Linked DNA regions of Yarrowia lipolytica. The protein of the gene in region 2 purifies or fractionates together with the protein of the main gene of each other region. This does not show direct contact. Links are inferred from orthologs where the notes say so. Each region holds a gene or a part of one and is shown on either strand. Other genes may lie near its edges.

The links. The genes of interacting proteins can lie anywhere in the genome.
Region 1: the proteins of YALI1_E33858g (region 2) and YALI1_B09333g purify together in Saccharomyces cerevisiae (affinity purification with western blotting; 4 studies listed by BioGRID, with this or other methods). This does not show direct contact. The link is inferred for Yarrowia lipolytica from reciprocal best matches to the Saccharomyces cerevisiae genes SEN34 and SEN2.

Annotation. Positions count from the first base shown.
Region 1 is NC_090771.1:931,798-935,318, reverse strand, and holds YALI1_B09333g (uncharacterized protein), read left to right. Parts: upstream 1-1,920; coding exon 1,921-2,949; downstream 2,950-3,521. Other genes in the region: YALI1_B09320g (uncharacterized protein), read left to right, coding at 3,004-3,235, 3,298-3,464; YALI1_B09316g (uncharacterized protein), read left to right, coding at 3,472-3,521. UniProt on the Saccharomyces cerevisiae protein: Constitutes one of the two catalytic subunit of the tRNA-splicing endonuclease complex, a complex responsible for identification and cleavage of the splice sites in pre-tRNA. It cleaves pre-tRNA at the 5'- and 3'-splice sites to release the intron.
Region 2 is NC_090774.1:3,383,895-3,387,140, forward strand, and holds YALI1_E33858g (uncharacterized protein), read left to right. Parts: upstream 1-1,903; coding exon 1,904-2,701; downstream 2,702-3,246. Other genes in the region: YALI1_E33843g (uncharacterized protein), read left to right, coding at 381-1,103. UniProt on the Saccharomyces cerevisiae protein: Constitutes one of the two catalytic subunit of the tRNA-splicing endonuclease complex, a complex responsible for identification and cleavage of the splice sites in pre-tRNA. It cleaves pre-tRNA at the 5'- and 3'-splice sites to release the intron.

The DNA of each region.
Region 1 (3,521 bases), on a different chromosome or scaffold from region 2:
TCGGAGTTTCTTGACTAGAATCTCTTAGTCTGAATATCGCTTTCTGAATCTGGTTTCAACCTGGATTCGTTGCCATAATCTGGAGTCGGTGCTATCAGCCCAGTAAGACTACACTTCAAGAAGCTGCCCAAGTGGACTCTGGGATTGTGGCTTTCTCTTGTTGGATTCCAGTATGGATCTCGTCCGTCTGACCCGACTATCGTCTGTCTGATCCAAGTATCGCTCGTCTGATCCGAGTATGGATCTCCTCTGTCAGGTTCAAGGACTCCAGCTTCTTCAGCGCTGCCCACACATGTTCTCAAGCATGTGTTTTGATAGACCAACTAGCTGTATCAGAGCCCGGGCTCCTCGTGTCAAGTTTCGTTGCTCGCCATATTGGAGAACTTGGAAGGCGCTCGCTACTTCGATATTCTGGTAACTATCTTGTGTTTTTCGACCTGAAATCAAATCACACAGGCTATTTGGAGTCAATTGAACTGGTTTGTGGCGACAATTGAGCAATATTACCACTATTAGCGGGCTCCCAAGATCCCATCGGTGCCTTCGGGGTTAGATGCCGACATACAGGCATATTTAGACCAACAGGGTTGCATTAGAATGTCTATAACGGGAGGTTGAGGGGTTATATAACGTCCCAATAGATTTTTGGAATCATTATGACTTCCCAGAAACTTCAAGACTTTGTATGAGTTGTTTATTAGGCGAGTTGAAGATATCAATATACTACTTAAGTTTAGTTAAGAAATTGAAAAAATCCGAATACGTACTTGTAAAAGTACTCTTTTTAGTAGTTTAATACATTAATAATCAGGTTAAAACTCTCTAAATCCACTCTATATACTTATTTAAGAAATTAATTGTAGTTTTATACAAAATAATATCATTCTAGATACATATTACTAGAAAACACTTTTGTTGCCTTTACTTGACTGACACATCTCAATTGAGTCTATTTACTGATGCTCAAGTAATTAATTCAAGTCCATGGACCCATATCAATACACATCAGAGACGTTCAAATCTGACCAGATAAAGTCTTATCTAGCACTACTCGCCGTCAAAAATCAAGCTGAAACTCCGGTATTCCTCCTTCGCCTCCTAATCTTCCCTAAAATGGGATGTTTTTTTATTCTTTTTTATGATTTTTTTATTCTAAATATGATTTAATTTTCTCCCTTCCTTCTCAAAAACTCCCCTATCGAACCTTGCCCCAACTTTCGGTTGTATAGTGTAGTGGTTATCACCTTGGATTCTGACGAAAGCTCAGCTAACTTCCAGTAACCCCGGTTCGAGTCCGGGTACGACCTATCTTTTTGTCGGCTTCTTTTTTGGCCCGTTCGAGAGCTCCAGGCGTCTTGTATGTCAATCATACATACTTGTTATAGGTTATGAGCTAAGACTATAGAGTGCCAACTAACACCCCATCTGAAAAACATGATCCTGTGAAGCTCAAGACGTGATTTTTGAAACCCAAGTTCTCCTTGCCGTTTGCTACCGTCTCCAATTTCAAAATTCCAAAAATGCCCACCCTATCGTGCCCTATACACCCCCTCCCTACCCCATAGTAAACACCAGTCTTACACACATATTTCAGAACTCCCAACCCCCGGGTAACCGCGGTGGGTAGTTATAAAGCAGAAAAAATCCACCCCTTGTCGTCATAACCACAGAGCCCATTGGTGAGTACCAACCGACACAAACAGGGAGAGCGCACAGCGCACAGCGCACAGCACACAGTCGCGCGCACAATGCTCTTCCTCTTGACATGATGATATCGAAAACCTTTCTTGAACTCCTGAGAGTGATTTCTTATAGACTACAACGGTATCTGATTTTTGTGATTCTGCCCTTGTTGCCTTTTTTTCCGCCTTACTAACCAAAGTCCGCCGTCGTTGAGCTCGCACAGCGCCAATTTGTGTAATGAAAAAACAAAACTTGAACGCGTTATACCCCCATCCATACCCGTATGTGGTGGATGTCGTGCCACCGGTGATACACAATCCCATCTCGGTGTTGTATTTTCTCTGTAGATGGATCTTTGCCGGCAATACAAGCCCAGAGTATACCGCCGAGTATGTTGATGGTGTAGTTCGGGCCGTTGGAGACGCTCGCGAGGGTCTGTGGAAGATGGGCTTCTTTGGCAAGGGCATCTTGTCTCGGTCCGAGCCCTCGTGGGACATTCGAACCAAGAGACGTCTGGGTCTCCATGTGGAGGAGGGGGTGTATGCCCCTGAAGAGGTGACTCAGTTCCGACGAGAGCAGCGGCAGCATTTCAAAGCCGAGCGAGCCAAGGCCGAGGAGGAGGAGCTCAAGAGACGCCAGGACATTGATCGGGGTCTGGCGGTGGCTGACAAGAATGAAGACGACAAGCCTGTTCGTCCGGAGTTTGATCGGGACGCGTTTCTCGCCAAGTCTTACGAAATGGAGAAACGAACGGAAGACGACGAGGTGGTGGATTCGCTGGGCAACCTCGTGGATATCGAGTTTCTACAGCTCATGGACGTGGAGGCGCTGTTTCTTCACATGGCGTTTGGACTCAAGGTCGGCGACATGGATGTGAAGGCCATGGTTGACGAGTTCACCCGCAAGGACCCTCGGTTTCTGACCTATTACGCCGTCTACCACCACTACCGATCGCTAGGTTGGTGCGTTCGGTCGGGCATCAAGTTTGGAGCCGACTTTCTGCTGTACAAGAAGGGTCCTCCGTTCACCCATGCCGAGTTCTGCATCAAGGTGATGCCTAAGGACGAGCCCATGCCCGACTTTTGGTGGCAGTCGAACCTGTGTCGAGTCATTGGCGGAGTCAAGAAGACCACTGTCTTTTGTTTTGTGGATGTGCCAAAGGTCGAGGGCGTTGTCGATGATGCCAAGCTGGTGGAGGTGTTGAAGCAGTTCAAGGTGCGAGAGGTGGTGTATAGGCGGTGGATTCCCTCGAGGAATCGGGACTAGCGGCGGTGGCGGGTGACAGAGTGAGATTTGAACGGATATGCCGGAACTCTCAGAATGTTCTTCACCAGAGACTTCACCAGAAACTTCACCAGAAACCTCACCAGAAACTTCACCAGAAACTTCACCAGAAACTTCACCAGAAACTTCACCAGAAACCTCACCAGAAACTTCACCAGAAACTTCACCAGCAACTTCACCAGCAACTTCACCAGCAACATTCTTCACCAGAAACTCCACCAGCAACATTCACACCAGAACCGTGCTTGTCCCCACCAGCAACAATGCCGTTGAACAGACCCAAGGTCTTGGTCACTGCCCATTGAATCTCGCAGGCGTGACGCCAATCAGCAAAGACCCACAAGCGCCACCAATTTCAAGTCTGTACTTTAGAAGATGGAGCCAGAGATCCTGAATTGGAATCCACGGAGATCGAACAAGTAACCATTAGTTTCAACCAGAAGCAACAGTTCCTTCGTCATATCATCTCTTTTCCTCCAGTATATCGTCACCGTTGACATATGTATGGACTTCTTCAGCTCAATAGTTCCTTATCCACGGAGATCTCTTACATC
Region 2 (3,246 bases):
CTGAAAAACTAAATCAACATGCAGCCTTCTTCTTTTCCCGAAAAGTCACTCATTTTCTCGCAGGTGTGCCCATTAGCAAAACACAGACTCTCCAGCCCTTCCTCATAGAGTTCAAGCGTCATCAATTGGGTATCTGACCATACTGTACTATATCTTGGCCAATACAGATGATGAGTAAATTCTGAAAAGCGCATTCTTTTCTAAGTAGACTAGAAACTTGATTTCCTTACTCACCCCAACCCCATATACGCGTACATGCCACCTGAATGTCACTCAGGGCATAATACCCCACCTGTGGATAAACTCTATTCTTCCCCGGATATCTCCCACAGTGACCTCTCTTCTATCACTGTCACCTAACACACAACACACCAAACACAATGGCGACGCTTGCAAGGACGGCCAAGATCTTTGGACTCTCGCTCGTTGCTGGAGCTACTGCCATGACCGGGTACCACTTCGGTGCTCTGGGGCGTCATGAGCTGACTTATCCGGTTGCTACCGAGAAGGATCATTTTCACTCCAAGGAGAGCACCTTTCTTCACAACAGTCAATTCGCCAAGGAGCTGCGGGAGAAAGGTTTTCGTGAGACCCGTTTGAGTGAGAAGATTCCTCTGGAGTACTCTCGAGGATTCCTGGAGTCGTTTCTGAAGAAGCCTGGATACCTGACCGTTGATCCACTGCTGTTCTACAAGCGGTGTGATGACGGAAAGAACGGTGTCATGTATGCATTTCTGCACGTCGGCGACCATTTAAACGGACACACTGGAATCGTGCATGGTGGTTTCCTGGGCACCCTGCTGGATGAGTTTGTATGTCTGGGGGCCTTCCCCAGCCTGCCCTCTCAGCAGTACGGAGTGACTGGCACCCTGGAGATCAATTACCGACAACCAGTTCGAGAGAACCAGTACCTCATGGTGCGAGTGGAGACTAAGGACATTCAGGGCCGAAAGGTAATTGCTGACGGATCTATCGAGAAGTTTGAGGGAGGTGATCTGTGGGAGAAGAAGAAGCAGAACGTGCTTGCTGAGGCTGAGCTGGTGGTCATTGAGCCCAAGTGGATTAAGGAGATGACTCAGTACTTTAAGAAGAAAGACGAGTAGTAAGGATCTGGAGATGAAGGCAGTGTTTTGGCTACTGGACTCAAAGTCTGCTCGCTCAGTCAGAGAGAAGCTACCACGTGAGCAGCAATGAGGTGGGACAATAAGTGACCATGTCTGTTTTGTTAGATGTGTAACAATGTTTTTAATTTGTTTATGTGACACTGGCGGGACATGTTGTCTCAATGGGAGATGTCGATATAGAAGCTACGAGTAGCGAACTGCGAGGCGTTCAGGTCATACCGGAGGCCTATTGTAGGAGGTGTGAGGAGGATGAAATACTTCAGCTGTATTCAGCTACCCTAATGAATTTGCTGAAACTGAAATATTAGATCCTTCAACAGAATCATCATATCCTCAGGCTTGCCTGGTCCCTTTTAGGATTGAGCTCACACAGATGTCTCTTATCCGTCATACAGAATTTGAAACGGTATAGTCAGTAAAAAATTGATAACCACTTACAGTCTACTGTATCGTACCAAAGCATCAATGTTCTCCATGAATTTTCACTACAACTACAAGTAGCTTCCGTTACAAAGAATGCGTGTCTGAAACACACTATAGACCATTTATTTAGCCTTCTAAAGTCACCAAAAATATATGTTGTGTCGAATTTTAGAAGTTATAACATTGTACCACAAGTTCTCGAAAAACGTCTACTCATCTCGCTCCTTACTGTTCCACAACCCCCTCCCAAGCCCTTCATCACCACCGATTAAACTTCGGCCTTATCGAAAATAAGCTCATGGTTGTACATATTTTGATGCATATTTCTGTCCACCTAATTTTTTCCTCACCACATCATGATCCAGATCAAACGCATCAACGACAAGTATCTGGTGTTTAAGGTAGAGGACATCCGGTTTCTCCGGCAAGAGCATCTCATTGGAGGCACGTTAATCGGTACGCTACCTCAAATCCCCCAACAGAATGTCTTCTGTGGCCTGCCACTGCAACTGTTCAAGGAAGAGGTGATATTTCTGATGAAGAATGGAATTGCAGAGGTTGTGGACGATAGTGCAAGTCATGTGACAGCCCTTACTTCCCAAACGCCTGAAGATATCGAAAACTACGAAAAACAACGCCATACAGCCCAGCAACTGCAGATCAAGGAGTATACAGAGGGTATGCTTGAGCGACGTCGGCAGGCTCTTGAGAAGAAGGGAATGAGCGGGAAGATTGACAAGGAGGTTGTGGTTGCTACTGATAACGCCATATCATACGTCACTGATGCTACCACTACAAATGAGACGCTGGAGGGATACAACATGTTCAGCAAGGAGAATGTGCTGAGCGACCTGCTAGAGCACGTGACTTCGGCTCAGTATTATATCTTCAACTTTTTGCATTCCCGAGGGTATTTCTTGTCACCTGGCCTGCGGTTTGGAGGCAATTTTTTGGCATACCCCGGAGACTCCGTCAGATACCACTCCCATTACATTGCTATTGGCAAGGAGTATGAGGAGAAATTCCCCATCAAAAGTGTTATTGTTGGAGGAGGGCGTCTTGGAACTAATGTAAAGAAGTGTCTTGTTCTTGGGGGAGAGAATGACGAGGGTGGGGACAGTGTGTATTGCATTGAGTGGAGTGGTTTTGGTTAGATGAAGAGTGGGTGACAATGTACATACTATAATGAAAAATGATAATAAAAAGCTGAGGGATCTGATTGGGTTGTTGCTACTTATAATATAGATCGTTGACAAAGACCGCAATGTTTTCTTTAAGAAACCTTTGTGGTGTTGTTTATAGGTTCTTTTACAATACAATGTCAAAGGGTTTGCCATATGATCTTCATTTTGGTGTCGTATGAAAAATTACGGCGAGGAGATGAAACCATCAAGAAAAACAACTGTTGACGTTCACCAGATATACTGTAGAGCTTCTTTGAGCTTCACAAAAGCTGTCGCTTCCTACAAAGTACAAGTACAAGTACAAGTACATAGATATTCCTGCTCACACCAGAGCCCACCTTGATGCAGCATGTATTTGTACAGTAGCCTTACACGTACAATAGGAACAAACAGAGAAGTGTGGTGATGTCGTCTTCTCCTGCCGACTACAGCAACGTAGTAAATCCCTTGTTTCCACGTGACCATTCAGTCGATTTTCGTTTTCGTTTTCCTTAACCATTCGTCTAAGCTCTCAC